Linked DNA regions of Nothobranchius furzeri. The protein of the gene in region 1 purifies or fractionates together with the protein of each later gene. This does not show direct contact. Links are inferred from orthologs where the notes say so. Each region holds a gene or a part of one and is shown in the gene's direction. Other genes may lie near its edges.

The links.
Region 2: the proteins of upf1 (region 1) and upf3a purify together in Homo sapiens (affinity purification with western blotting; 5 studies listed by BioGRID and IntAct, with this or other methods). This does not show direct contact. The link is inferred for Nothobranchius furzeri from reciprocal best matches to the Homo sapiens genes UPF1 and UPF3A.
Region 3: the proteins of upf1 (region 1) and exosc2 purify together in Homo sapiens (affinity purification with western blotting; 3 studies listed by BioGRID and IntAct, with this or other methods). This does not show direct contact. The link is inferred for Nothobranchius furzeri from reciprocal best matches to the Homo sapiens genes UPF1 and EXOSC2.
Region 4: the proteins of upf1 (region 1) and eif4a3 purify together in Homo sapiens (co-immunoprecipitation; 8 studies listed by BioGRID and IntAct, with this or other methods). This does not show direct contact. The link is inferred for Nothobranchius furzeri from reciprocal best matches to the Homo sapiens genes UPF1 and EIF4A3.
Region 5: the proteins of upf1 (region 1) and upf3b purify together in Homo sapiens (co-immunoprecipitation; 16 studies listed by BioGRID and IntAct, with this or other methods). This does not show direct contact. The link is inferred for Nothobranchius furzeri from reciprocal best matches to the Homo sapiens genes UPF1 and UPF3B.
Region 6: the proteins of upf1 (region 1) and casc3 purify together in Homo sapiens (co-immunoprecipitation; 5 studies listed by BioGRID and IntAct, with this or other methods). This does not show direct contact. The link is inferred for Nothobranchius furzeri from reciprocal best matches to the Homo sapiens genes UPF1 and CASC3.
Region 7: the proteins of upf1 (region 1) and smg7 purify together in Homo sapiens (affinity purification with western blotting; 7 studies listed by BioGRID and IntAct, with this or other methods). This does not show direct contact. The link is inferred for Nothobranchius furzeri from reciprocal best matches to the Homo sapiens genes UPF1 and SMG7.

Annotation. Positions count from the first base shown.
Region 1 is NC_091748.1:65,887,161-65,891,283, forward strand, and holds part of upf1 (regulator of nonsense transcripts 1), read left to right. Parts: intron 1-2,535; coding exon 2,536-2,716; intron 2,717-4,123. UniProt on the Homo sapiens protein: RNA-dependent helicase required for nonsense-mediated decay (NMD) of aberrant mRNAs containing premature stop codons and modulates the expression level of normal mRNAs.
Region 2 is NC_091754.1:29,406,722-29,409,931, forward strand, and holds the end of upf3a (regulator of nonsense transcripts 3A), read left to right. Parts: coding exon 1-5; intron 6-102; coding exon 103-158; intron 159-245; coding exon 246-404; intron 405-516; coding exon 517-650; intron 651-1,036; coding exon 1,037-1,343; intron 1,344-1,865; coding exon 1,866-2,054; 3' UTR 2,055-2,232; downstream 2,233-3,210. UniProt on the Homo sapiens protein: Involved in nonsense-mediated decay (NMD) of mRNAs containing premature stop codons by associating with the nuclear exon junction complex (EJC) and serving as link between the EJC core and NMD machinery.
Region 3 is NC_091746.1:53,646,611-53,651,217, forward strand, and holds the start of exosc2 (exosome complex component RRP4), read left to right. Parts: upstream 1-1,321; 5' UTR 1,322-1,542; coding exon 1,543-1,664; intron 1,665-1,737; coding exon 1,738-1,839; intron 1,840-1,952; coding exon 1,953-1,998; intron 1,999-2,087; coding exon 2,088-2,177; intron 2,178-2,261; coding exon 2,262-2,327; intron 2,328-2,415; coding exon 2,416-2,484; intron 2,485-2,648; coding exon 2,649-2,825; intron 2,826-4,607. UniProt on the Homo sapiens protein: Non-catalytic component of the RNA exosome complex which has 3'->5' exoribonuclease activity and participates in a multitude of cellular RNA processing and degradation events.
Region 4 is NC_091746.1:29,292,023-29,296,145, reverse strand, and holds part of eif4a3 (eukaryotic initiation factor 4A-III), read left to right. Parts: intron 1-2,290; coding exon 2,291-2,406; intron 2,407-2,488; coding exon 2,489-2,596; intron 2,597-4,123. UniProt on the Homo sapiens protein: ATP-dependent RNA helicase. Involved in pre-mRNA splicing as component of the spliceosome. Core component of the splicing-dependent multiprotein exon junction complex (EJC) deposited at splice junctions on mRNAs.
Region 5 is NC_091741.1:85,713,207-85,718,053, forward strand, and holds the start of upf3b (regulator of nonsense transcripts 3B), read left to right. Parts: upstream 1-1,887; 5' UTR 1,888-2,013; coding exon 2,014-2,124; intron 2,125-2,347; coding exon 2,348-2,454; intron 2,455-2,530; coding exon 2,531-2,637; intron 2,638-2,724; coding exon 2,725-2,823; intron 2,824-2,969; coding exon 2,970-3,080; intron 3,081-3,429; coding exon 3,430-3,473; intron 3,474-3,567; coding exon 3,568-3,756; intron 3,757-3,829; coding exon 3,830-3,981; intron 3,982-4,067; coding exon 4,068-4,374; intron 4,375-4,465; coding exon 4,466-4,609; 3' UTR 4,610-4,847. UniProt on the Homo sapiens protein: Involved in nonsense-mediated decay (NMD) of mRNAs containing premature stop codons by associating with the nuclear exon junction complex (EJC) and serving as link between the EJC core and NMD machinery.
Region 6 is NC_091746.1:33,209,099-33,213,921, reverse strand, and holds the start of casc3 (protein CASC3), read left to right. Parts: upstream 1-1,640; 5' UTR 1,641-1,683; coding exon 1,684-1,866; intron 1,867-3,212; coding exon 3,213-3,237; intron 3,238-3,324; coding exon 3,325-3,380; intron 3,381-3,557; coding exon 3,558-3,767; intron 3,768-4,823. UniProt on the Homo sapiens protein: Required for pre-mRNA splicing as component of the spliceosome. Core component of the splicing-dependent multiprotein exon junction complex (EJC) deposited at splice junctions on mRNAs.
Region 7 is NC_091751.1:34,600,152-34,604,274, reverse strand, and holds part of smg7 (nonsense-mediated mRNA decay factor SMG7), read left to right. Parts: intron 1-396; coding exon 397-568; intron 569-647; coding exon 648-719; intron 720-804; coding exon 805-955; intron 956-1,035; coding exon 1,036-1,171; intron 1,172-2,109; coding exon 2,110-2,272; intron 2,273-4,123. UniProt on the Homo sapiens protein: Plays a role in nonsense-mediated mRNA decay. Recruits UPF1 to cytoplasmic mRNA decay bodies.

The DNA of each region.
Region 1 (4,123 bases):
CACCAAAACTCGTCTGTATGAGAGTGACCGTCAGAAGGTTGAACAACTAACTTGGAAAAATATAAGAAGAAACAGGGCTTTTCCTGGCTCAAATTGAGGCAGAGCTGGTACCATCCTGACCATGTGCCAGCACATGCATACTCTGTGCATTCAACTGCCTCACTTTTTTAAAGGCAAAATATTTTTTCATTAAGTGTTCTTATCTAAGCTTCTATTGATTAATTGAATATTCCATTTGACAATGTTTCAAGTGAAACAAAACTGGTTTGCTGCTAAAAAATATGAAATAAAACAACAAAATTATCAGGCTGAAATAACAGACTTTTATTATGAAAGGCTCAATAATATGCATTAGATTGGTGTTTAGTTCCCTTTTCCCCGTCTGATATTTATAGTTAAAAATATTTTTAAATATTTGATCTACATTTCAGTAACATTTTAGGTTTGTGTTAATAACACTCATCTTATTATAAAAACACAAATATATCCAGTAAAATATTATGCATTTCATTAACATGCATTTGTATTGGAAATGGTAATAACATTTAATTTCTGCTGCTAACAATGTAATGGTGGCATGTCTATTATGTACGGGTTGGCAATAATCCAGTTTTAATTATGTTCAAAGATAGAAGCGTTTGTGAATTGTATACTACAACGGCTTGCCGTACTTCCTGCTCCTGTGTGTGGAGCAGACTTGTAGCAGTAATGTGTCTCATATCTGCAGCGGTTCTGATCCATAGCGCTGCAGGATGCAGAATAAACAGGATGGTGGGGACTTTTCATCCGCTTGTAGAGTTTAGTCTTAGTTTTATGATCATCAAATATTTTTCTGTGGGCCACTTGATCGTGAGACTGCTACCTGTTAGCTTTAGCATTAGCCAATTTGCGTGTAGCTGTACTTTTGATCCCAAACATGGACCGGTTCTGTCTTTGCTGGTTCCTTTATTTCTCTCCACTGCATCCAGAGTAGAGCCCTGCACGGGCCTAAAATCTGAACCTGTGTCCGGCCCGAGGGGGTGGAGCCCCTGCCCGACCCGGTCCGAAAAGGTTTTCAGGATTCTCTGGCCCGACCCGAGCCCGACTTTTTTTTAACCAACTAAATGAAAACAAAGTGCGTCAATCCTGACCAATGTGTTAAAAGACGTGCAGGATCCGATCAATTTGGTTTTCCCTCATTTACCGTCACGGAGATGACGGCGCACTGGCTCTGGTGGTAATCAAGTTAAATTTTATCTTTCCAACAATTTTCACAAGAAAACAGAACAGTTAAAAGCAGGGCTTGTGTTGTGTTGACCGGACAGTTCCCGTATTTGACCGTTTATTTTGACGGAGAAAGAATAGAAAGAATTACCCCGACGCATTGTAGACGAACTGACATTTTATTCGTTATGCACATTGCAGATGTAGCTAAAAGGTTCCCATCTGAGCTGGACACTGCTCAGCGCAGCTCGCTGTCAGCGCATATGTGCACAGCGAGCTGAAGTTGTGGAGATTGACTTGGAGCGCGTCACAGAACGAGAGCGCATGCAGGAAGGTTCCTCCCACTGAAGCGAGTGTTTTCCAAACCCTGTCTCTCAGAGAGACTTGTCACTTAGAAAATGTTCCCTGGTTATGAAACTTTGGCTGAATAGTGCTTGTTCCTGTCTCCAATGTGGCGACGCATCCAGGAGCCGTCTGAGGAGAAGCCCAGAATCTCATATCTTCAGCTCAGAAAGCGCCGATATGATTACGCACAAGCGTGACCCGTCAATCCGGTCTCACAGTAAGACCGGGTTGGGCCTGTTCAGGTTTATGCAGACAATCTTTATATTTAGAATTGACTTACAGATGTAAAATTAATTCAGTAAAATATAAAGCATTTTATTTAAATATCCATTCATTATTTTACAAGCACAGAGAGCCGCATCAGATGGATGGAAGAGCTGCGGGTTGCCGACCCCTGGTATAGCCTATAAAATGACATGTTTTCTCCAGGACCAGAGAGGACGCAAACTCAATACATCTCTTTTGTTGTGAGGTAATAATTTCTCCGAGTTTTGCGGTTGCGGGCGGGAGTAGACATGTACGGTGCAGGTGCGGGCGGGAGTGTAACACACACGTTGCGGTTGCGGGCGGTAATTGTCAGAAATTCAGCGGGAGCGGGCAGAAGCGGGATGAAGAAAACAGTCCCGCGCAGGGCTCTACTGCTGCGTTGCAGTCAAGGGTCGGCAACCCGCGGCTCTTGCATCCATCTGATGTAGCTCTCTGTGCTTGTAAAATAATGAATGGATATTTAAATAAAATGCTTTATATTTTACTGAATTCATTTTACACCTATAAGTCAATTCTAAATGTAAAGATTGTCTGTGTAAACCTGAACAGTTCCAACCCGGTCTTACTGTGAGACCGGATTGACGGGTCACGCTTGTGCGTAATCATATCTGCGCTTTCTGAGCTGAAGATATGAGATTCTGGGCTCTGGATCAGGTGATGCACGGGTCTATCGATTGTGTGCAACCATCGACATGTAAAAACCCGTTTCTGTCCACACAGACAGCCCTGTGCTAGTCAGAGCAGCCTGAAGGACATCAACTGGGACAGCTCACAGTGGCAGCCTCTCATCCAGGACCGCTGCTTTTTGTCCTGGCTGGTAAAGATCCCATCAGAGCAAGAGCAACTCCGAGCTCGTCAGATCACGGCCCAGCAGATCAACAAGTTGGAGGAACTGTGGAAGGTATGTCAGGCCGTTGTAGAAAAGTAATTAGCCAGCACAGGTTAGAAGGCTGTAAGAGCTACGAGTTCTCTTATCTGAACATCTTAGGTGTGTTCTTGCTGTGTCTTTGTAAATCCATGCTTTCGTTCTTTTTTAAACACAGAAACAGTTTTGTTTACCTGTTTGTAGCTACGGTTTCGCCGACAGCTGCCGGCTTCTTCAGGCTGACGCTGATGGTGGCGCGTCACTTCCTTCTCCGTTTATCTGCGGGCAGCAGAGGACGTTGTCGCCCTCTACTGCCCGCTCTCCCCTCTCCGACGATGCAGTCCCATGCGTGGTCCAGTGTGTAAACTCCGTCGTCCCTGTTCATGGTCCCACATCCACGTCTCCTTATCTCTATTGCTTCCTTGATCCATCTTTTGTATTTTTGTTGTTCGGTGGTTATGATCCGTGTGTTGTCCCAGTCCATTATATGGTTTTCTCTTAAGCAATGATCTGTTACGGCTGACTTTTTTATTGTACTTTCTGCTTCTTCTTTTGCTGCTCTTGTGTGTTTACGATTTGCCTCTTTCTCGCACTCCTTTCTATGTTCTATTGTCCGTGTATTGAGTTGGCGTCCGGTTTCTCCTATGTATGTTTTATTGCATATTTTGCATGGGATTTCGTAGATGACTCCACATTTTTGTCCAGCTGATATTTTGTCTTTTGGGTGTACTAATCTGTTTCTAACTGTTGTGTATGGCTTTGTTGGTGTGTTTATGTTGTGTTTTTTCATTGTTGCTCTTATTTTTTCTGTTATGCCTTTGATGTATGGTAGGGTTATCACTGGTTTTGGTTCTTGTCTTTCTGGGTTTCTGGTTCTTTTTTTGGGTTGTTCTTTGCTTTCTGTTTTTGTTTGTTGTTTTCCTTTGTTTATTGCCCATGTCGGGTATCTGCAGGTCTTTAAAGCGTGTTGTATGTGTTTGTCCTCTTGTTTACGGTCTCTCTCTTCTGTTATCATGTTTGCTCGGTGATATAATGTTCTGATTACTGACATTTTGTGTATGGTGGGGTGTTCTGATGTCCATAATAAATATTGGTCTGTGTGTGTTGGTTTCCTGTATGTGTTTATGTTTAGGGTCCCGTCGGTCTGCCTGGTGATTTTCATGTCCATAAATGCTATGCTGCCTTCTGTTTCTAACTCATAAGTGAATTTTATGTTGCCCGTGTCGTCAATATTGTTTAAGTGTTGTGTTAGTGTTTCTGTTTGACCTTTTGGTATGATTTCCAGTATGTCGTCTACGTAGCGTTTCCATAGTTTTATTTTGCAAATATCAGCTGGACAAAAATGTGGAGTCATCTACGAAATCCCATGCAAAATATGCAATAAAACATACGTAGGAGAAACCGGACGCCAACTCAATACACGGACAATAGAACATAGAAAGG
Region 2 (3,210 bases), on another chromosome or scaffold:
CATAGGTACTCTGTTTTTACTAAAACAAAATCATACCTCTAAATTAGGGTTGTTCCAAAAGATAAATCACATCATTGCTTCTTTTTCTTGGTTTGCTTTCAGCCAAAAGGACAACACCTCTGCTGGAATACATCAAAAATAAGAAAATTGAAAAACAGGTAAGAAATAAAACAGTTGGAGGAAAATTCAATTAAATGTAAACCATGAAAAATAAACTCATTTTTGATGTTTCACACATTTAACAGAGAATCAGAGAGGAGAAGAGAGAGGAAAGGAGAAGGAGGGAACTCGAAAAGAAAAGGCAGCGAGAGGAAGAAAAGCGAAAGCGGCGAGAGGAAGAGAGGCGCAAGCGAAAAGAGGCAGAGAAGCAGAAGAAACTGTCAGAAAAGGACATCAAAATTAAGGTATCACTTCTCCTTTTCAGTGCTGTTAATGTGGTTATCATGTGTGAATGGTGCAGCTGCACACAAATAGAACGTAATTTTCCTTTTTTTTTTTTTGGGGTGGGATATTTAGCTCCTGAAGAAAAGCGACAGAGATGATGATATTGATTCAGACAGAACGAAGGAGAAAAGTGATACTGGTGATGGAGACAGGGGTAATTGGGAGAAATCTGTGGGACAAATGAAGTCAAAAGATCCCAAAGAGAAGTAAGACCTGCTAAATGATTCAATGTACATGCATTGAAAACATGTAGAAATTTCTGCCATTGTTTTCTTTTTTATTATATCAACAAAATAATCCAAATGTAAATGTTCTAATTAGTTTATTTCTAGGTTGTTGACATTTAAAAGTATATGGAATGTAAATTTTTAGCAATGTTCTTCATCCAAAAGACACTTTTGTTGGAAAATTAAATATTTCTTTATTGCCTGCAGTTAAAATTATTTAACAGTGAAATTCATTTTGACATTTAAGGGAAAAAAATGTAAACGTTTTTTTTAAGTAGCCGGAAATTTCATTATTGTGGTTGTACCTTTATGAAAAACAATTCATTATCTTCAGTAGTGCATGCTCTACTTTATGTAACCACTAGAGGTCAGCCTGAAAGCGACAAGGAGCAGAGAGAGCAGCAGCAACACGGGCGCAGGCAGCGAGACAAAGACCACAGAGGAAAAGATGAAGAAAGAAAACGACAACGACACCACTATGAGTTTGATAAGTTCATGCGCCGGAAAGATGAGACCAAGTGGGGGAAAGGCTACTGCCAGGACCGGGCCAAGAAAGAGGGCCATCACCACGGTTACTCCTACTGTCCTGACAGTGGAGAAAAAATGGGAAAGGAGGACAGGGAGGAGCTGAGTAACAGGAAGGAACGCCTCCGAAACAAGGTGAGCGAGAAGGTGAGCATGAGATTAAAAGGAAGCTGGTCACTGATGTATCCCATGATGCAGACATGTAACTATGCTTCGGAAGGTTTATTTATTTATTTTTTTACTACAAACAAAATATGTCAGTCACTTAGTGTTGTGACATACACAACCTCCACCCACACACTCACACTTTCACTGAATGGTGTGGTGGAGATGATGATGGGCTGTTTAAACAAGAAAAACAAAATGTTAAAAGTATATTTATTCATAACTGAAATCCTATTATACCATCACTCTCACCTGTGTGTTCTTAACATAATCTTTGTACATTTTTTCATAGTTTTTTTCTTCTATTACTAATTTATAATAGAATTTGTTGTGTGGCACATGTGTTTTTAGGTCACTAAAAATGTGTAAAAATACACATTGTAACTTTTAACAGCTGTGTGTCTTTAAGTATGTAGTCAAACATCTGGATTTCAATCCCAAGTGGAGCCTTTAGATCTAAACTATGCCCTTTGTTTCATCTCTGCCCTCTTCTCTTCCTTGCAGGACCGTCCAGCCATGCAGCTGTATCAGCCGGGAGCACGCAACAGGAAACGTATGAGCTCAGCCAGTAAAGGCTATGACTGCATCCCTGTGGGCCACTCACCCGAATGCAGGACGGATCGTTGTTATGATGTTGTTACCATGACAACTGGACTAGAGAGGGGCTTTGAAAAAAGCAAAGATGAGCTGTGAGTATTCTGGGTAAAATGAGGAAATACATGTATAAAGTAAAATAAACAGTTTGTCAGGTTATCTGGTTTGACTGGGTTAACTGGCTTATTGGTTCTGTTTCAAAAAAGGAACTGAAAGAAGATATTTTTAAAATAGTAATTAGAGCATTCGCTGCCTGATTGCCAGCATCAGTCTAATTGTCAACCCTTGATAGGATTGTATCCTCTGCATGGGAACATCATTCTTGATTTTATAGATTTTTAATGAAACAAACAATAAAGTTGGAGGAAGTTGCAGACCGATGACGTGGTTAATAAGAGTAAAATATGTTTTTATTACTGTGTACAGGTGAGAAGATGACTATGAATTAATTTAGAAAAACAAAGTTTCTGTCTAAATATTTTACTAGTGCTGTGGTTTAGTCAGCCAGCTTTATACATGATCAACAATGAATCTGTAAGGAAAACGCATAATTATAATGAAAAGTTTGCATTTTTGTTCTGTTACTCAAAACTAGTTATCACAAATGTTTCACTGCAGTTGTTGTCCACATAGGTTTTACAATTAGCTTTAGGGGTAGCTACGTTTTATAGCATTGTGTAAAAAATAGTTTTACGAGCTTAATAATAACTTTGCACGTCTCATTTGTAAGTTTCTTTATAAGAAATACATGATGTCAAACAATTCTGCGGTGTTTCCGTCATTGAGGATGTTCTCTGGGTGTGACAACAGACACCGTATGGTTGTGAGTTAATCACAGTTGGAGGTGATTCAACACAAGAAGGTTAGTGAAGGTGTGGCTCTTATATGAGTAAATAGAAAAAGGGTGTTGGCCTAAATCAGATGAACATCTGATCTGATTTTTGATTTCTGTAAATGAGAAACTGTACTTTGTGACTGTTGGCCCACAGATTCAGTCAGAAGAAGACTAAAGACAAAGGGACGGACTTTGTTGCATTTTCACCAGAGAAAACAGAACTATAACAATCAACAGGAAGCTGACAAAAGAGCACACTTAGTGTGTGAATCTTGTGAACTAGATGAAAGCTCGCATTTTCACTTCACTCTGATTACTTTCTAAAGCTTTATCCTAAAATGTAGAACAATTTCTTTGTGAAATAGTGAATAAAACTGATTCCTCAATTATGTCTGGTGCATTCTTTAACATACCACCTGT
Region 3 (4,607 bases), on another chromosome or scaffold:
GAAATAGGAAATCCTTCTTCTTTTAAAATATCTTTATTAATATAAAGTTTTATTTCTAAAGTCATTTTTTTCATAATAAACCAAATGATCATTGAGCCATTTTAATTTAATTCATTCAGTTTTTATTACATAACTTCTTTTTAATAGTGTTTTTTCCCATGGCTGATTTATTTCATAATGAGACTTTACAGCAGAATGTCTCAGTCCGTCAGTCAAACCAGTGGGTGTGACCTGCCATTTTAAAAGAAGAATGAAAAATATTTCATAATATTGAACTTAGATTTTACATAACATTCTGTTATTTCATCATTTCATTGTCAGATTACATGATTGTCTAGTATTTCTTCATGTAGACATTTATTTCATAATGTCTTATTTATTTATTGAATTTTGAATACTTTTGAGTTCCATAAAACAAAGCTATTTGCAGAGATAAGTCTGGGTTGGGGTGTTTGAAAAAATTAATTTGAGAGCAAAACAATAAAAAAGATTCTGACCTAGCCTAGAATCTAGACCGTCAATTGCTGAAGCAAAAATAATCTTGCATTATACTATATATATGTATTTTTAAGAGTCCACAATAAACTTATAGGGATGGCATTGGGATTATAGATATTTTAAGAACTCATCAAAACATTAATTACAGTTGAAAAAATACTGGATTGAGCTGAGAATGTATTAATTTAAATGGCATACATCTGTAAACATGAAAAGAAAAAAATTGATGTTTGGCTGTATTGTTGAGCTAACTTAAGAAAGCTCTAGAAAGGAAACAACCCCCAGGAGTCTGCATCCAAGTGTGAAATCCTCCTCATCACTGTTGTCTGACCTATGCATGCTCCAGGGGATGAATCAAAGTAAAGGCTGGGTGCAATCTGATGGTTTTCTAGGCTATATATTTTTGTACAAACTTTCATGAAAACAAATTTGAATTTATTTAAAAAGTCCAACCCTAATTATCCTGTTTTTGTATATTTTTCTGGAATATGTTTTTACCTTGCCTAATAAAATCACAAATTCTGCAAAGTAAACAAAAACTGAGGGAAGTGAAATTGATAAAGAAGAAATAAAAGCCCTGAATTAACAATTAAAGCGGGCTTATAAGATTCCACCAGTAAAACTGTGATGAATCTTATGATCACAGAAGTGGAATGATTTAGCTATTATTGAGTTGTTTGTTAATCTGAACCTGGCTGAGTCAGTAGTACTGCATTGATCTTTATTTGGCGGAAAGAGAGCAGTAACAAAACATCAATTTCTGTCGCTTTTACTCCGTACCAGTAGGGGGCGTTAGCTGGTCTCACAAACTACGTAACAGAGCAGAAGTAGGAGAGTGTGCTACCTAGCATCACAGACATGCATGGTCTGTTATAGTTATATTGTTGTCCATTTTTGTAGCTTGTTGAGCCAGTTGGTTTTTAAACGACTGTTAACTTTGGGGAGGAAACCCTTTCTTAAATTTTCTTCACTATTCTAAGTGTGCACATAGAAGTAAAGCCCTGTGGACTCTGTCGCGAGCGGGAAAAGTAAGAAGAAACAAGCATGGCAGTGGACATGAGATTACCGACTGTTAAAAAAACAATGACTTTGTCGGCTCCCGCTGTATACCGGAAAGATTTGGTAGTTCCCGGCGATGTTATCACCTCAGACACAGGTTTCATGAGGTGGGTACTGGTTCTACTGTGAAGCCTGGGAGTAAAGGCCTGGTAACCATTACTTTACCTCGTTTTCTCACAGGGGTCATGGAACATATGTCGACGATGATAAACTAACGGCTTCAGTTGCAGGAAAGGTGCAAAGAGTTGACAAACTAATCTGCGTCAGACCTCTAAAGACCAGGTACGCCATTAATTTAAGAGCCATGAAACATCATTTACCTCTGCACTGCTTTCACTTGCTATGTGTCCTGCTTTTATCTAAATGCAGTCCTATAACTCTGATGTGAATTACAGATTTAACGGTGAGGTTGGAGATGTGGTTGTTGGCAGGATCACGGAGGTGAACAAATGTTTTTGTGATCTAAAAACAGTAAAAAGATGTAGTACTTTCATCAAGAGTTTTCAGAATGGGGATGTTTTCAAATTCAGGTTCAACAGAAGCGGTGGAAGGTGGATACCAACTCCAGACTAGATTCGGTCCTCTTATTGTCATCTGTCAATCTGCCTGGAGGAGAACTGGTGAGATAGTAGAACGTAGCTTCATATGTTTTGGTTGAGATTTTTGTTTTTACTTTTGCTAAACTGATTGATTTTGCCTTTTAGAGACGAAGATCTGCAGAAGACGAGCTCACCATGAGAAAATACATCCAGGAAGGCGATCTAATCAGTGTAAGACACATTTGATTCAAAATGACCAACTTTTACTACCAGTTTTTTTTTATTCCTGACTGGGTTTGAACTTTTGTTTGTTTTTTAGGCAGAAGTGCAGTCTGTTTTTTCAGATGGAGCACTCTCACTTCACACTCGTAGTTTAAAATATGGAAAAGTAAGTTATAGCACACAGTGACACTGAGTAATCCCACTAATTTTTACACTAACACGTTCCTAATTATAAAAAGCTTCTTTTGTGGGAAAATAATCTGTAGTAATAATAATAATAATAATAATAATTTTAATCTCAATCTTATTTCAATTCTTTTTGACTGTCAGTTGGGTCAAGGAGTGCTGGTCCAGATTTCTCCTTCTCTGATCAAGAGGCAGAAAACACATTTCCACAATCTTCCATGTGGTGCATCTATAATCCTTGGTAATAATGGCTTTGTGTGGTTGTATCCCACGCTGGGACAACAGGATGAGGAAGCTGGGGGCTTCTACACCAGTTTGGAGGTACATTCAGAACCAGTCAAGAGAAGTTGTTCATAAACTTTATTGACTTGATTTTGATAGATGTGTGTGAGCGTTAAAGTGTGAGTAAAGCAGTTCAACATAATAAGTGATTTGTTTGAGAAACCTTGCTGGGTCTATTAAAGGTCAGTTTTGTGAGACATGATCTAGTATTTTAAGACATCATAAATGATAAACTACATGAATTTACCTAAAGGCACAAAGTATTTTTATGTCAAGAGAAGGAAAAGCTTCCTAAGGAATGAAAATTTGACCCTCTGACCTGACTTCTCACCTCTGTTTGTGAAGAAATACTTATTAAACATAATCTATTTAACACATCCAGACATGTAATGCTCTAAGAATTCCTCCTGGAGGAACGGGGCAGCCTTAGAGAGAAAAGCAACTTGAGACTGTTAAAGTATTGGGTATTGACCCTTTGCACGTGACCTCACGCCACTCATGTGACCGCCCCCTTCGCCATGACGGACGGCAAAAATACCATTTACACCTGTAGAATCCCCAGTGAAGCTGGTCAAAACAAGCCAGTTTGTAGCCTTTTATCGCTTTTATTTAGTTGATTTGACAGTAAAATGGTTTTAGCCTGCTGCATGGTCGGCTGCACTAAGAGACAAGGACATAAACTCAACTCGTTTTTTCTTTTTAATAAATTTGATGGGAGACTGAGGACGGAGACAAACTGCAGTGATCAATTAAGCGAAGTAGCCCTCAGATTTGCAGCGAACATGTTTTTACCGGGTAAGATTAATGTTCATTTATTTCACGAGGAAGACAGGGACAGGGATAAAGGTGATGTGTTCATACAAGTTATTGATAATCCTGATGGATGGGTATTTCACCCCGGATGACGCGCGCCGTCCACTGTTGTATAAAGCGAGACAATTATTAACAATATTAAAGCTCCGATGTATGATTACATGTGTTAAAATTACGTTATTTATTTATTTATATGAGCTTCAGCGTTCAGAGATCTCATTCCGATGTGAGAGCAGCAGCTGAACCCGGTAACACCACCAGCAACAGGAGCTGGTAGAGATCCAGACTTTTTAAAAATCTGCTTTGGTGTGAAGTGAAACGCTGTTTACAACATAAAGTTATAAATCCAGAGGGGTGGATTTAGGCAAAGTCAGCAACATGTTTACATCGGTGAACAGCTGCAGAGAGAACGTAAGCTAACGTTGGTAAGCTAGTTAACATACCGCTCTCTATGAGCCCCCGCTAGATGCGCTACTTCTGATAATGGAACTGGGCAAGAACTAGTTGAAGGAATGCTGGAAGAGTTTAATTTTTGTTTTGATGGCAAAAACTATTTCAGGCTCTAATTTTCCCTTTGTTTAGTACTCGTGTCGCTCGCTGTTTACATGCTTTTGCCGTCCACCATGGACCCACGTGATTAGGTGACGTCAGTGCAAAGGGTCAATATGATTGGTCAATTTATAGGGCTGGGGGTAAACGATTATTTTTAAAACGATTATTCTGACGATTATTTTATCGAATAGTCGACTATTCTAATGACTATTTAGAAAATTAATCTAATGATTATTTTTCTATTGCACAATTAACAAAAACCAGAAAATCTCAAATAAATTCCTCAAAAAATTGATAAATTCTTACTGTAAGAGAATAAACACTACAGGCCTTCCATTTTGTATAACACTGCTTTTATTGTGTTGGTTGGTTATGTTCTGGTGACGTGTAGAACTTGGGAGTGCAGGCTGCTGCCTGAGAGGTGGTAGAAGATGGAGTGTCTCCATGCTGCTTTGT
Region 4 (4,123 bases), on another chromosome or scaffold:
CCATCACAGCAACACCTGAGTCTCATCTGTGTTGGCTTAAGTAGGCTGGTGCTTCCACAATCAATCGACCAATCAAATGAGGCCAAGCCTCCTCTCAGGTATGCAGAAAGAAAATGAAAACAACACAAATGGCTCCTACACGTTGATTGTGAAAGACAACCAAACACTCACTGTGTGCAAAATAAATTAAATAAGTCAATAAATCTCTTCAAATGTAAAACAAAATCAAAACATTAAAAAAAACTGTGTTGGGGTTCTTCGGGTCCTTTCTTAGTCTAGTAGCGGCAGCAGCTGGCCACACAGGTGCCAGATTATTATTTTTTATCGGCTTTTAAAAATAATTTTGACCAGTGGCCGATATAGAAAAACTGTTATTTATCTGCCCGACTGTGATCCGTGCCTTTGGTACCTGCAGGCTGGATTATCACAACTCGCTATATGCGGGGCTTAGGCAAGCGCCAATAGCACGCCTCCAGGCGGCTCAGAACTCGGCTGCTCGGTTGTTAACATCTACCAGGAGGTCTGAACATATTACACCAGTCCCACGTGCCTTGCATCGGCTCCCTGTCTCCTATCGCATCAGGTTTAATGTCTTCCTGTTTGTGTTTAAGGCGTTAAACTCAGGGGCACCTAAACACCTTTGTGACGTCATCCACCGACATGTCCCGGTGCGTTCCCCTAGGTCAGCTGACCAGAGACTATTAACCGTGCCCAGGTACAGCCTGAAGTCTCGTGGGAGTCGTGCCTTTTCAGCGCTCGGACCAAGTCTGTGGAACGAGCTGCCAGCCGACGTAAAGCAGGCCAAATCACTGGAGACCTTTAAAAGCCGACTACAAACGCATCTGTTCTCGTTGGCGTTTGGTAGGGCTGGGGGTAAACGATTATTTTTAAAACGATTATTCTGACGATTATTTTATCGAATAGTCGACTATTCTAATGACTATTTAGAAAATTAATCTAATGATTATTTTTCTATTGCACAATTAACAAAAACCAGAAAATCTCAAATAAATTCCTCAAAAAAATTGATAAATTGTTACTGTAAGAGAATAAACACTACAGGCCTTCCATTTTGTATAACACTGCTTTTATTGTGTTGGTTGGTTATGTTCTGGTGACGTGTAGAACTTGGGAGTGCAGGCTGCTGCCTGAGAGGTGGTAGAAGATGGAGTGTCTCCATGCTGCTTTGTTTTGGTCACTTATGTGCGTGAGGCGAGTGGTCTTACGGGTTAAACCAAACTCAGGTGATATTTTACACTAAACCGAAAACCCACAACACTCTAAATGTAATAAAAGGGAGATCTACGCCACAAAAAGATGAACTCTAAACCAAAACGTAACGGCTTATCCAAACGCAAGAAGCTGTTAGCGAAAATGTTAACAGTAGCTTTACCAACGTTAAGTTCAAGTTACCAAGTTTAAACAAACCAAAAACACCCAGCAGCAAACAGACCAGCACGGAGGAGAGACTGCTACCACCAAAACAGCTCTCCTCATGTCTGAAAGAAGCTCCTTAATGAAGGGAGAAACGCTCCCGGTGATGTCCTACATCTGCGGTAGAGACCGAGCAGCACATCTGACCCCGGAAGTTGTCCGATGCCGGGAGACGAAGGCGGGCAAAACAGGAAAGGAATCTAGTAGTGGACGGACATTGTTCCGGGTCTTCGGTATTTGGCGGAGATGTTAGTGAAGGCGGAGAAGAGGGCGAACTAGAGGAAAAACAGACAGATTCCTCCTCTATTTACAAACTCCTGGGGATGCAACAAGTGGGCGCGGTGCGTCGACTTCCGGATCTGACGTCGACAAATTTTTAGAATCGAGCCGTCAACGTCATCTAGGCTTCGCTACAGCCCTAGCGTTTGGACACTGAAGTTGGGATTGGGTGGGCAGCATCACTTTGAATGTGTCTGGATCTGATTCTGGGAAAGGACTGATATGGATTGCGAACTTGTACTCGGGATTTCTTATTGTATTTTAAATGGTTATATGTCTGTTTTATTGTTGTGATTCTTATTGGTGTACAGCGCTTTGTTTGTCCGTTTTGGGCGTGTGAAAGCGCTTTATAAATAAAGTTGATTTGATTTGATATACCAGTCGGCCTCTGGTTTAAACAACTTTTCCTGCACAGTTGAAGCTGTTTTTTCCTGTTGATGATTAAAGTCTGCAGCGCCGCTCTCTCTTCGTGCTGCCGGTGCGCGCGGCGGCCAGACCCGAGGATCAGCTGATCTGAGCCCTGCTGAACCAAAGGCAGAGAAATAGTTTAACCTCCAACCTGTGGGTGTGGTTTCAGGTGGACTGGCTGACAGAAAAGATGAGGGAGGCCAACTTCACTGTGTCCTCCATGCACGGAGACATGCCGCAGAAAGAACGAGAGTCCATCATGAAGGAGTTCAGATCTGGAGCAAGGTATTAGATTCTCAGCGGACATGGTGGACACGCACTCAAAACCACAGCATCACATACGTTCTACCAAATCTCTCTCCTACAGTCGTGTCCTCATCTCCACCGATGTCTGGGCTCGAGGTCTGGATGTCCCACAGGTGTCCCTCATCATCAACTATGATCTGCCCAACAACAGAGAACTCTACATCCACAGGTATGAGACGCTAATGTGGGAGGAGCTTATCAAGGCTGGTATTGTTAACGTAGACTAAAAGGTAAAACATTTTGATGAACTGAATTGAAAATATAAAGGAGATTTTACAAAAAAAGCAAACTAACTGAAACTAACGAGCATTCACACAACTAAAGAAAAAATGTGTATTAAAATAGCGGAAAGGAGACGCCCCCTAGAGGACAGCAGGGCTGTGGCAGTGACCTGTCTATGATGCCATCAACAGGAGGGGACCCTTTAGGAAGATGCCACTTAAATTAGGGGTGCACAATATATCCGCATCAATAGGTGTCAGTCCGATAAACAAAACTGGGCCGATATTAACAACCGATATAATTTCCATCTTGTTTCCATCCATTTATCTGAGGGTGAGGGTGGTGGTGTATAAATTCAGTTCAGGTAACCCATGTGCAGCAAAGCAGTGAGGTACGGGGTGCACCGCCCTGCAGGGCCCTATAGACATGGAGCAGGACCTTAAGTTTAGCCAGGTACACAACCGAGAACCAGTGAAGCAAATCCAACACGGGAGCGATATGATCCCTCTTCCTTGTACCTGTCAAGAACCAGAGTGTCCAGTTCTGGGCCACCTGGAGCCGTGCCACCGCACCCAGGCTCAGACCAGCATCTGGTAGAAGCATCAAATTTTAAGTTCGTGACTACCTTCCTATCGTGTGAGGACAGAGAAGCAAGGTCAACCTGAAGGCTCTATTGGTGGTCAGAATCATTACCTCCGTTCTGTTCATATTCAAATGCAAATAACTGTAGGCCATCCATAACTTAACTTCCTCCTAAGAGTCTAGAGTGGAGAGACGGAGCCACCTGTCCCCAGACAGAGAGGTGGGTAGATCTGGAACCATCGCATTATGCTGACAGGGAGCCCCTCACTGGCAGCAAATAGACTGCAAAAAGAGGGGGCCCAGCATGGAGCCCTGTGGAACCCATCATCAGAGTCTCTCCCAGGCAGAGGTGGTCTTCCCTATCCAGACACCACTTAACGTCAAAGTAGGACTGCAGCCATTGAAGGGCCGGGTTAGGGTTAGTTGTTACCGGTCCAAAAATATGTTGGGACTGTGTCAAAAGCTGACGTTCTAGTAAAAGTACGACGACGGCATCGCACACATCTAGCTGAAAGACTGTAACGCAAAACCGTTAAAGGGGCGGTCTTGGTGCTGTGTCAGATGGAGCGAGTCTTGCGTGTTCCTTCTTCTCCTAAGATCCACAATCATCTTTGTTCTGTTAACATCTAAGATCAGATGCCTCACCCTTCCACAGATTCACCCACATCGTCTCTGTCCTCTGTCTCTTGTCCATGTCTGAGACACTCTGAATGACAGGACCAGGACATAGAATAGAATCGACCTAATTAATCCCACAGTGGGAGAATTCACTTGGAGAAAAGGAAGAAGAAGTAAATGATAGCAAAAGTACAGGTGAATACACGAAGGCAGTCCGCTGTTACTGTAACGTTCAGTCTCACACTCTGAGGTGCGTCAGTCAGGGTGTCAGTAA
Region 5 (4,847 bases), on another chromosome or scaffold:
ATCAGCACCTCCAAATCTGAGACCATGGTTCTCGACCGGAAAAGGGTGGCTTGCCACCTCCGGGTCGGGGGAGAGGTCCTACCTCAAGTGGAGGAGTTTAAGTATCTCGGGGTCTTGTTCACGAGTGAGGGTAGGAGGGATCGGGAGATCGACAGGCGGATTGGTTCGGCGTCTGCAGTGATGCGGACGCTGAGCCGATCTGTCGTGGGGAAGAGGGAGCTGAGCCAGAAAGCCAGGCTCTCGATTTACCGGTCGATCTACGTCCCAATCCTCACCTATGGTCATGAGCTTTGGGTAATGACCGAAAGAACGAGATTGCGGATACAAGCGGCCGAAATGAGTTTCCTCCGTAGGGTGGCCGGGCTCAGCCTTAGAGATAGGGTGAGGAGCTCGGACATTCGGGAGGGACTCGGAGTAGAACCGCTGCTCCTCCGGATCGAAAGGAGCCAGTTGAGGTGGTTTGGGCATCTGGTCAGGATGCCTCCTGGACGCCTCCCCGGGGAGGTGTTTCGGGCATGTCCTGCCGGTAGAAGGCCCCCGAGTCGACCCAGGACACGTTGGAGAGGTTACATCTCCAATCTGGTCCGGGAACGCCTTGGGGTCCTGCCGGAGGAGCTGGTGGACAAGGCCGGGGAGAGGACGGCCTGGAGCTCCCTAGTTGGGATGCTGCCCCCGCGACCCGGACCCGGATAAGCGGAGGAAGACGACGACGACAACTTTCAATGCTCTACATGGTCAAGCTCCGCCCTATATTACTGAACTGTTAAAGCCTTATGCTCCAATCCGAGCCCTCAGGTCCACTCACCAGAACGTTCCAGATGTTCCAAAGACCAGATATAAAAGTCGAGGGGATAGCTCCTTCCAGACTGTTGCACCCCGACTCTGGAATGATCTTCCTTTATCTTTATGTAGCATTGACAGTTTAGACACTTTTAAAAAAACAGCTAAAGACCCTTTTATTTAAAGCTACTTTTACCTAAATCTTTTATTTTCTTATTTTTAACTCAAAATTAGAAATCATCTTTCATCTGTTTTATGGTATTTTATCATTTAATGACTTAACTTTTCTGTTTTAATCTTTTTTTAAGATCATTATGATTTTATGACTTTATGATTTGTTTTGTTTTGATCTATGTGAAGCACTGTGGTTTTCTGTCTTTGATGAGTGCTATATAAATAAATTTACTTACTTACTTTACTAGATGATGGATGGATGGATGGATGGATGGATGGATGGATGGATGGATGGATGGATGGATGGATGGATGGATGGATGGATGGATGGATGGATGGATGGATGGATGGATGGATGGATGGATGGATGGATGGATGGATGGATGGATAGATAGATAGATAGATAGATAGATAGATAGATAGATAGATAGATAGATAGATAGATAGATAGATAGATAGATAGATAGATAGATAGATAGATAGATAGAGTAACTTTATAAACAGATAAAGATACAATTTGGTAATACTATTAAAAGATAAATAAAATAAAAGTATCATCCATCCACTCTCTATACCTGTTAGTCCATGCAGGGTCGTGGGATAAACGTATCACAAAATACATTAATCAAATACATAAAAGTAACGAACAAGGAAAATTTGAAACACAAATAGGGAAACAATGCAATGTTTCCAATAAAAAGATGTCTAGTGTCACTAAGTGGACAGTAGACATATCTCAATCTTAACTTTACATCAGACTTAACCCTAGCTCTACAAAAAAATTTACTATAGAAAAATATTTTAGAATGGACATTAACAAAAATATAATTACCAGTAATTACCGAAAATAGTAATTACCAAAAACATTTTTTTTTAAATGTGTAATTGCTTTGTATTTAGCGCCACCTCCTGGTAAAAACTTGTAAATGCAGCTTCAGTAGTCAGAAAGGAAGTTTCGAGCGGTTAGTATCTAGCTGCTAGCTGGCTAACTCTCTGAAAAGTAAACAAGTCTGTTGAGTGAGATGAGAGCAGGCTGTGGATCTCTGTAGACGTTCAGCTATGAAAGAAGACAAAGAAAACACTCGACCGAAGGAGAAAAAAGTGGAGCTAAAGTGTGAAGATGGAGAAAAGACTGAGAAGTCAAAAGAAAAGAAAGAGGCCATGACAAAGGTAAAACTTGCTAGCTAAAGCAGCTAATGTTGCTACAGACGTCAGTTTTGGATTCGTGTAGTTCTATTAAATAAAAGCATGGTTTAACTTTTTTGTTTTGTTTTTGTTTTCAGATAAAATGTTCTACGATTGAAATTATACATTTAAAGACTGGACCAAAATTTCATTTTACAAAGCCCTGCTTAGTAATTAAGGTAGTGAACTTTTTACAATGTGTTCGTAGATTGTAATCAGACGATTACCACCAAGTCTGTCTAAAGAGGAGTTAGAGGAGCAGCTGCAGCCTCTCCCAGAGGTGGACTACATGGAGTTTTTCTCAAACGACACCAGGTGAGTTCACCTGTAAAATGACTGTTAGCATTTCCTTCATTGTGTTGGTCTAACATGGCACTTCCGGTCATTTTAGCCTGTATCCCCATCTCTTCGCGAGGGCTTACATCAGTTTCAAAAATGAAGATGATATTGTTCTCTTCAGAGATCGATTCGATGGATATGTGTTCATAGACAACAGAGGTATCAAGAACACACACCCAGTTTTCTGTGAAGTGTTCCAGAGCGTTGACCTGAGACTGTCCTTGTTTATGTTTGGCCATTCAACAGGACAGGAGTATCCAGCCATTGTGGAGTTTGCGCCGTTTCAAAAGATAGCCAAGAAAAGAAGTAAGAAGAAGGACTCGAAGTGTGGAACAATTACTGAAGGCAAGGGTTTAAACTGTCTGGTGGTTTTGATCTTCTCTGTTATAAAAAGAAATAAGCTTGAAGAAACTCCATGTTCGTCCCTAACATATCTATTTTGAGATCTATCTATAAAAATCTATAGCTCAGCATGTTTGTGTTTTTATCAGATCCTGATTATAAAAAATTTCTTGAATATTACAACGGAGACGAAGAGAAGCTGACATCTACGCCTGAGACCTTGTTGGAGGAGATCGAGGCCAGATCAAAAGAACTTGAAGGTTTGTTTATGACAGCACCGTTATCACTTGCTGTGTTTGTCTTCAAATTCCATTTTTGGTTCTTTTTTTAAACACAGATAAGGTTTTTCTTTACCTTGCTGACGTTTCGTTTACGGCTGCAAACATCTTCAGAGCTGCCGCTGATGTGGATGTGTAGGAAGTGACGCCACCATCAGCGTCAGCTCTGAAGATGTTTGCAGCCGTAAACGAAACGTCAGCAAGGTAAAGAAAAACCTTATCTGTGTTTAAAAAAGAACCAAAAATGGGACTGTTATAACTGCTTGTATGTAAACAGGAGCATTGCATTTGACAAGATTTCTTATTGTGGGTTTCTTCCCCTTTCTTTTAGCTAAAAAGACCACGCCCTTGTTGGACTACCTGAAGAATAAACAGGTAAGCATGTGGTAATCGTTTTTTGGTGTTTAGGATAAATTGGTTCAACTGCATGTTAGCAAGAATCCATCAAACTTTCTATTTTAACTTTCAGAGAATCAGGGAGGAAAAGAGAGAGGAGAGACGAAGGAGGGAGCTTGAACGCAAGCGCCTGCGTGACGAAGAGCGTCGCAAGTGGAGGGAGGAGGAGAGGAGAAAACGGAAAGAGGCTGAGAAGATGAAAAGACTTGAGAAACTGCCGGAGAAAGACAAGGACCACGTTAAGGAAGAACCAAAAATTAAGGTTCGTGCAGTGAAAAAAAAAAATGCATCTGTCAATTTCAAGTTTCTCATGATGATTGTGTCTTTATATTCAGCTCCTGAAGAAACCAGATAGAAATGATGAAGCAGAGTCTGAAAAGCCTAAAGAGAAGTCCAAGAAACCAGAGAAGCCACATAAAGAGGTCCGGTCATTCAGTGATCTGAAGAGGAGACATAACATCGAGAACAAGGAGGATCGTGAAAGAAAGTCAGTTCTTGTTCTTTTTTTCCTGGCATTTTGCACTTTTGTTTGTACATTTAACTGATTTAACTCCAGCTGTGATTTCCTTTTAGAAGAGATGAAAGTGGGAGAAAGGAATTCAGGGAGCGGGACTTTGATCGAGACAGAGAGCGGGAGGAGCGGCGGCAGAGGGAAAAGGAGCGCTTCAGACGGCAGGACGAGGAAAGACGGAGGAGGAGGGAGCAGCATGATGGAGAGAACACGTTCAGGAAGCGGGAAGAGGAGATTAAAAAAGAAAAGGCGTTGGAGAAGAAGAGGAATGAAAACATGGCAGATTCCCCTCGCGGTGAGAAAACGGAGAAGGCTGCCAAAGAGAACAAAAAGGATGAGAGCAGCAAAAGGGAGCGACTGCGGAATAAGGTACGGACTCCAGTTATTTCTCACACTTGTGCCAAATAATTTCTGAGTTTGTTTTCCTTTTGTAATATTTTATTTATATTATTTGCAACAGGACCGACCCGCCATTCAGCTTTACCAGCCAGGGGCCCGGAGCCGCCACCGTGCCACACCAGGAGCAGACAGAAGAGAATCCAACTCTGCCGACAGAAAACCAGATACTGAGAGCAAGAACGTGGCTGAGAAAGTAGACGACTGAGCAGACCTCTGCTTTTGTTCATTTGAGTTAGGTGAAGAGACAGGCCTGCGAGCAGCAGTATGGCGTCTCGGAGCCACGCGCTCCACTGATTAAGCAGGGCTCCCAGTTTCGGAGGCAGAGGTGTGATCCTCTTTGGTCTGTGTTAGGAGAAGAAACGATTCACCTTCTGAAGGAGTTTGGCTGTAGGGCACATTCAAGGAAGCCAAAGTTTTGGGGACCATGTGATGTCAAAGTGAAC
Region 6 (4,823 bases), on another chromosome or scaffold:
GCTTCACAACATAATCAGTCATGCCCCAATTCACACACTCATTCACACACACATTTACACACACATTTACATGCTGGTGGGGATGAGCTACAATGTAGCCACAGCTGCCTTGGAGCATTATCCCTTGTACTGCTTCGTTTTCACACGGAACAAGACCTCCCACACACATGCGCGTGCACCTGGCGCGCACACACACAGTCTGATGCGCAAAATACGGAATGCAGAAAATTAGCAAGGTGACAGATTGATACAGAATGTCATGCGTAAGTGACAATGTAAGTGTCCTGTCACTGTGACCCGATTGATCATGCGCCCTGGCTACTTGTACAAGGAAGATCTCTGTTTGGCTGACTGGTTAGCACGCATGACTTTCATCCGGGAGTCTGGGGATTGAATCCTGATCGGATCATTTTTTTAATATCCGCCACAGATCTCTCTGAAGAACTCAGCATTGACGGCTTCAGCAACGCTGTGCCACTGAGTGAATTTTCTCTTGTTTTACAAAAGCACTTCCTTTCATTTCTCCACCTCACCCACAGGTACCTGAATTTCTGCTTGTGAAAGAGCGCTTCCTTGATCTGCAGTCGTGATCGAAATGCTGCAACAGCTGGCTTATGTATATGCATAAGATTCACAAGGCACTTTGCATTGACTATTTATGGCAGTAAGTGGGCGTGGTGAGGGCGGGATGTGACTAAAATGCAGCTGAGAAACATTCTCATTATTCTCCAATTTATGAAGCGGAGATTGCGTGTAGCTGTGCGTACTCCATGTTTGATAGATCATAAACCTACTTGGCGTAAGTACATTTTTTTTTTGCTGAGCTTACGGTTTTAGTAAGGATTCTACGCAACGTTTGATAAATGAGACCCCTGGCCTTTTCTTCACCCTCTCTCTGTGCATAATTAAACAGAGGAAGAGTCTGGCAGGCCAGGCCAAGGGGCTTCTACCAGAAGTGAGCAAATCCTCATTGACTCCCATGTTAAAAATGCCATTTTCACAGCAGAAAAAAAAAACATGTTTACAGCCTGGTTAAAAAAATCACTTTAGGTTTAATAGATCTAGTTTACATTCATGACAACTCTGAGGGGGTGATTTTTTGTCACTCTTCTGTTTAAAGTGTAATTTAATGCTTAAAATTCTGAATAATTAATGAGCATCAGAGCCACGTGACTTCAGAGCACATGTTAATTGACAGTTCTGCATTCCTGACATTGCATAAAAGAGCCCCTTCTAGCCTGTAGTTTTATACATATTTTTAGCATACTTACCATAAAGACGACCCCCCCCCCCCCCCCCCCCCCACACACACACACACACACACACGCCACTATTTCAGTTTTTCAACTTACTTCCGATCTTTGGACGTTCTCTAGTTGGCATCTTCTTAGAAAATGAGGGCAACAATTTGATTCCCAGCAGTTTTTTGTAGGTTACATTGTTGATTTAACGTGCAGGTGTTCCAGATTATTCATACTTTTTTGTAACGGCTAATATGTGTAAAAATTGCTTTAGTTTATTCACGTACACGTTCAAATTAAAATAGTTATTACATCGTTGTTGTACTAATCATTTCCAGAGGGCGGCAGTAGACATCAAAGAGCTGGGAGAATTTGCTCTCCAAAAGAACACCATTACCCATAATGCGTTGCTTTTTCCGTTACTAACCATTCCAGTCCTAAGATGGCGGACCGGCGGCGAAGGAGGAGGCGCGCGTCTCAGGACAGCGAGGACGACGAGTCCGGTTCTGGTTCGGACAGCGGAAGGTCGGGTTCTCCCGTGACAAAGGCTCGAGGTCGAGATCCCGAACCAGTGGAGGTGACAGAGAGCCGGACCGAGGCGAAGAGCGACGTGGAGTCCGAGTGTGTGAGTAGCTACTCAGGCTAACTCCAGCAGCTAACGTTGGTCCGTCCATCACAAAGCTTGGAATTCGGGCTAAAAGTTCTGACTTATTCCGCTTCCAGAAAAACCTTAAGGCTCTCTAGAGGTACCATTAGGTTCGACGTGACTGTGGGTGATTAACTAGTTCATCAGTAAGGAGATGGGTTTTGTCGTTCATTCGTAGTTCGATGATCTGAGACGAAAAGGTGGCAGTTGAACCACATTTACTCGGGAACAAAATGTGACATAACACCGGCTCAGTCCCAACAGTCTCTCAGAACCGTTACTGGAGAATAGAGGATGGTTACCTGAGGTCCAAGTGGATTCTTCTGCCGAACCAAGAGCTAAAAGTCACCCTGATATTCGCCTGAGTCTGCGGCTCCACGCTGGACTTCAGACCCGTGGTGGTTCCATTACATCTAAAGACCCTGTTAGTTCTGATTAATCACAGATTAGCCCCAGTTGCACTAAGGGGCGTTACGACATAGATAAAATCTCGTAATCACAAATCAGAATACTCTGATTCAGAAGATGCGCGAGGCTGGATTCCCATGACTGAGTAGCTTCACCCAGGCAGTCATTGACCCTCACCCATCAGGGGACTGAGGGCTTGACATGTCTCAAGGCCTCAGTGTCCACTACATTTTATGTCATTGGGGTACCACCCTTTAGCTACAGGCCTTACTTGTTCATCTGCATTACACTTGGTTACATTAAGATAAAATGTGTCAAATGAATTATTTAGGGGTTGATTTCTAAATAATTGTTCGTGAGGACATTATCACTTCAAAATGTATTGGGGATAAACATGTTTTGATACCCAGGTCTCAACTAAAGAAGATTTTTACCATCAAGTAAAACGTGCTAACGAGAACACTTCTCGCTCTTTGTTAAATGAACTAGTGTCCTGATTAAAAAATATTTTCCATTATTGTCATCTGTGTTTGTATTTGAGCCAACAGTAATAAGGAGCCAAAGTCTCCTACTTGTTCGTTTGGTCCATGGGTCCCTGGAACAAATAAAAAAAGAATGCAAGTGAACGGGGCTTTAAAAGCTATGTTCTAATCTGCTTTGCAGTAAGCCCTGAATAACTTGTATGTTGTACTTGGAGTTAATTAAAAATGATTTGAGTTTCTTTCAACTGTCAGGTAATTTAAGATTTATTAGCTTGTTAAAATTCATAATTAAAATGATTACAAGTCAGACATCACATATGTCACTGTAAAATTATGAGGAACCTAGCATCCCCTTCACCAGGAAAGAGTCTATCCTGACACCTAAAGGCAGCCAGATTCTTCACGTTGTCATTTTGATCCTGTTTGTCATTGCAGGAGAGTGAAGATGGAGCCGGAGAAGGTAAGAGCCTCTCCTGGTTATCCAGCTCCACGTTAGATTTGTTGTTGGTGATTCCTGATTTTATGACTCTGGCTCTGTTTTGTTCAGCTGTCCTCTCAGATTATGACAGTGCTGATCCGGAGGAAAACCGCTCCCATTCAGAGGTAAATCCAGCCTAACACAACTCCCAGTTTCCTTCCCTCAGACAAGAACTGAGTCTGTTTTTGACTGTAGGATTGAAAAGACGTTCAGATTGGTCAAAGATCTGGCACAACAACCTAAGGATGCCAATTCAAAGACCAAACTGAAGAAGAGATGTTTCTGAAAAATTCTTTTTCCAGGGGGTAGAGGAGGAAGAGGAGGGTTACAGTGAAGAGGAAGCTCCAGCAGCAACCAGTGAGCCCAAACCTTCAGTTGCTGTCGACCCAAAACCGGAGGAGGTGGAAGAGGAAGAGAAGGCTGAGGAGGAAGCAGAAGGACACAGTAAGGAGGAGCCCAAGGGGGAGGACAAGGAAAACCTCACAGGAGAGAGGCAGAGTGGTGATGGACAGGTGAGACTCAGGAAATCCAGATGGATCTGGTCAGCAGGTTCTGATGCATAAACAGCTTTTTAGCTCTTTGTTGTCTTTTTGTCCATGTTCATTTGGCTCAGCTGCTCTGTTCCAGAGCTAGTCTGAGCTTCATTTGACATAATGGGAAGTTTTAAGAGGTGGTTATCATTTGGTTAAATTCTGATAAATTTCTGCACAATAAATAAAAAAATGGACCTATGTAAATTTTGTGTAATTATACATATTTCTGATATTTGTACAGCTTTGAGCAGCTGATATTAACTCATTCGCTGCCAGCTGTTTCCTGACCGATAAAGCCCTTCCCTGCCAGCGGTTTTTTTTTTGTGTGCCATTTTTACTGTTTTTTTAAGAGTCACAGAGCATTGCGCACTAGGATGATGATACCTCTTACAGCAGGAAGAATCCGTGCGTTTCGAGCTTTATCTGTTCTTTCATAATCCGTTATTGAATTGTGATCTGCAGAAGCTTTTCTGGTTCGCGCCACACTTTTTTTATTTTTTATTTATTTATTTATTTGTTTTACAGCAGTGGCCCAAAAGGACCTCCTAACACATGGATTTTCTGCTTCCTGGTCACTTGATGTGTGCCGTATGCAGATGAAGATTGGCTTTAGAGCTGAGATGTTTGTTCTCGCGGTGTGGGGACTCGTTCCTATGCCCACACAGTAAAAAAATGCAAATGGCAGTGAATGAGTTAAACTTGGCCAATTCCATCTTTTCTCTAAAGAACTGGAATCTACAGAATTATAGATGGCCCGATACAGGAATCTGTCTGATACTGTGTCCATCTAGCAGGACTCAGAAAATCCACTTTAGACGGCATTACGCTAAGTGTTACCAGGAGACAACGGCTAACTAAAAAAATGAATACAGTCAAAGTGGTTTTATTAGTGCTCCTCCGTGAGAGCAGGGGTGGGGTGGTTGCACATGTTCCGCTGCTGTTTCTCACCAGTATCAGCTGATGGAGGGCTCTAGTTTCATTGCGCCATTCGTGTCAGTGGACACAGTCAGGGAGGGGGGTGGAGCATGATGCTTA
Region 7 (4,123 bases), on another chromosome or scaffold:
CCTGGAGTTTGCCATGTGGTGGTTCTGGTCCAGTTGAGCTGAGAGTCAACCAGCAGCATGGTCATGTGATGGCTGTACTGTAGGTGAAGGTCTGATGTTTCACCTGATGCTGAAGCATTTCACAGGAACAGGATGCCCAGAGAATTTCACAATAAAAGCTAAAAGAGAGGAGAACGGCGCCAGGCCCAGAGGCAGAAGCCGTTTCAGAACCATCTGATCCAGTTTAGTCCCGATTGGACTAAAACCTTGTTCAGTTTGTTTCTTGATGATAAAAAAAAACTTTTCTGCGCTTTGAGTGTTTTCAGAGCAGGCCTTATGGGTTCTGACGAGTTCTGGTGTGTATTCTGTCCTCTGTTGGACCTGCTGTAGTCCTGATGGATCTCTGTGGTCTTCTAGTTGCTCCAGGAGCTCTGCACCGTCTTCAGCGTGGACCTTCCCTGTCGGGTCAAGTCGTCTCAGCTCGGCATCATCAGCAACAAGCAGAGCGGTGGCGGCACCATCATCACACCTCAGCCCAGTTCCTGTTCCTACATCTGTCAGCACTGCCTGGTCCATCTGGGAGACATCGGTGAGGAACCACTCAGGAGCAGGTCTAACAGAACATCTGTAGAAACGTTCCGGTTCTTATCCCTGTTCTCCTTTTTCAGCCCGTTATCGGAACCAGACCAGCCAGGCGGAGTCGTACTACCGACACGCAGCTCAGCTGGTCCCATCAAACGGTGAGCTGGTGTGGTGAAATGGACCTGATGCTGCAGCAGCCATGTTTGTAGTTTCCTGCTGGTGATGTTCTGTGTTTCTCTGCAGGTCAGCCCTACAACCAGCTGGCCATCCTGGCCTCCTCTAAGGGAGACCACCTCACCACCATCTTCTACTACTGCCGCAGCATCGCAGTCAAGTTCCCCTTCCCAGCAGCCTCCACCAACCTGCAGAAGGCCCTATCCAAGGCTCTGGACAGGTAATGTCCCACCACCATCAGGCTGCTCCTCTGCAGCTCCAGAGAAGTTCTAACAGCCCGGTTCCTCTGTGTGTCTGCAGCCGTGATGAGGTGAAGACCAAGTGGAGCGTGTCTGACTTCATCAGGGCCTTCATCAAGTTCCACGGCCACGTCTACCTGAGCAAGGGTCTGGACAAGCTGGACGTCCTGAGGGACAAGCTGGAGGAGCAGTTTCAGGTACCAGAACGGTTCTTGTGATGTGGGGTTGGGGCTGCACGATCATGGCAGAAAAGATAATCAGCATTATTCTGACTTTATGCTGTTTCTTCATGGAAACTGAGTTTTCTATTTAAATTTATTTTTCAGTGCTGAAGGTTACGGCAGTAGCCGAATGCCCTTTGACCTGTATTATTCACGTCCGCTGTTTCTCTAAGTGTTGCCTTAACCCCCCTCAACAAAGGTCTGTTCTATTCTAAAAGAGCCAACACACCTGCTCACAGTTTATACCCTACAGACCTCACCTGCTATAAAAGAGCTATGAAGGGCAAACACCTGCAATATAATAATAAACACCTATGTTGTTGTGAACTCAACAACCTGCTGCATAATAGTGATGTAGTCCTGTCAGCAGAGCCGTAGGTGTGTGTGTCCCTCAGAGATGAACTGTTATTGTTTATCAGCCTGAGAACCTGGGGGGGTGGCGTGAAGACAGGTGCGAGCCCCACGTGAGAATTGGCAGCCCTGATGGAATAAACATCTACTTCAGATCCGGATCGCTATGTCTTCAATGGCTTTAGCTTGTAAAGCAAGCAAGTGAGCTCCACGGAGAAAGGTTTACGGTCAGTCAGTCGATGTATCCTGATGTTTTACTAACCTTCACGAATTATTGCCGTCGGACTTCTACAGAAAGATGCTAGGAGTCATCAGATGTGTTGCTCTCCATTAGGGTAAAGGTTCAAGAGGGGGTCTGAAGCGTTGTTAGATTTAGCGATAGAGATGGTAACGTCGTGTGTGAGGTGCGTTAGATTTGTTACTTGGAGCAGCACAGGAGGGAGGAGCAAATAATTGGCATGTTTTGTTTTTATAATTGTTGGAAACCCAGATGGTAAATGTGATTAAACTTTGATGACTACGTGGAGCTGCTTCAGACAGAACGTTGTCTTCTTTTTGTCCAGCGGCTGATTTTGCAGAAGGCCTTCAGCTCCCAGCAGCTGGTCCACATCACCGTCATCAACCTGTTTGAACTCCACCACCTGCGAGACCTGACGGGGGACGGCCGCGAGCAGACCTACAGCAGCGAGCAGCAGATCATTTGGTTCCAGCTGCTGGGCCTCTTCGGTAAGAACCGGGTCGTAGCTCTGGGTTCGGGCCGGCAGAACCAGCATACGCTGTGTAACCGTTTCACTTGCATTCAGCTGCCTCTGAAACCAGACAACTTCTACGCAGCTCGACCTCATGAGCCACGGATCTGTGCTAGCAACACGTCAGACCTTCAAGTCCAAAAACCCGGAATATCCATAAACTGCTGAGCTGTTATTGATGTCTTTTGTCCTTGAGGCTTGCCATAGATGTAGGAGGACATTCGGGTTTATGGGGGTTGGAGGATAAAGTAACCTGATGTTTTAGGAGCCATTTTATTTGACATAAACTCAGCAAACACTTTCTAGACAATCCGTGTCATTGTGTGCAGAAAAAATGTAGAAGTAAAACGATGACGTGTGAGCAAACATGTTTGATCTTAGTGCGACCGCCCTGTGCTTGTTACCCCACGCACACTACACACGACTCGCCCCGACCTCGAGAAAAAAATCGTCTCAAAATCGAGATCGCTAGAAATGATCAGGCATTATTTACGTTTTCTTTTTGTGAGTTTATTACCAACATCAGTTAATACAGATGACCAACGGACCAAACATTTATAGTTTCATGTGTAATAAATGTAGGATTACAGTTTAAGTAATGACCATAGACATAAGATCCATATCGAGTATGAATCCCATCTAATGGACACTGGGTTATTTAAACCAGAAGATTGGATCTTTTTATTGCAGGGATTAGATAACCGTTACGTATTCACTCAGAGACAACAGAACAGAGAGAGTCAAGTTTAAAAGTTAAGAATTTTATTACTAACAAATTAAACTAGACTGACTTTAAAACTAAGTGTATAGTAGGGCTGCAACAACGAATCGATGAATTCGATGAAAATCGATTACTAAAAGCGTTGGCAACGAATTGCGTCATCGATTCGTTGTGTCGCACAACTCTTCCAAAAGCGCCCCCCCCCTTCCCGCCCGCCGTTGCGCGCAGACCAGAGCAAGTCAGATCAGCGCGAGGGAGAGCCGCAGATCAGCGCGAGGGAGAGCCGGTACCGGCAGATCAGCGCGAGGGAGAGCCTGCAGACTTGCGCTGCTGCGAACCGGTTCCGCATTGTTGCACAGCGATCCAGGCAGCTGCTTCCAGCGCACGGTCCATTCTCAAAGTGGCGCAACCAAAAAACTATAATTAGCACACGATCGTTCTTGTCTGCACATGTTCTCTATTTTCTGTCTTATTTGTGCCTGAAGCGCTCTGCTACTGCGGAGCTCATCACCTGTGCTGTGGTGATTTCACCTCACGCAGCATCGAAAACGCGCTCTCCGCTTTGCGGTCAGGAGATCCCTTTGATCTGCTCAAAAGTAACTGATGAGGTGAAAAAGTAAGAATCCAGGCAACAGATTTTCTGGAGAATTATGAGGAGATGCAGGAAGATGAGAGACAGACAGGACAGGAAAATAGTTAAATAAAAACAAGAAAACAAAGTAAAATGTAGGTATTTATCTCCACTACACGTTTTTACCAGTAAAAAACAATAAGTTATACACATGTCATAGTTATACATCTGATACAATTCAGATCACCTTCAAAACTCAGTCACACACCCAGGGCCGTTTCAAGACATTTTGGGGGCCAAGGCAAAATGTCCCCCCCCCCCATAACTGGGCTCCCCAGAAGCCTCTGTGTAATTCATACCTTCTCCAGTAGTGTTAGTTATATGGTGTTTATAAAAGCCCCTCAGACATTACTGACATGTTCTAATATTATCAGATGAAAAACTAAATTATCAGACATGCTGTCTCATCTGCTTCTTTTCTAAACTTGCAAAAAGTAACAAAACTATTTGAAAGCCACTATTTGTGGATTATCTGA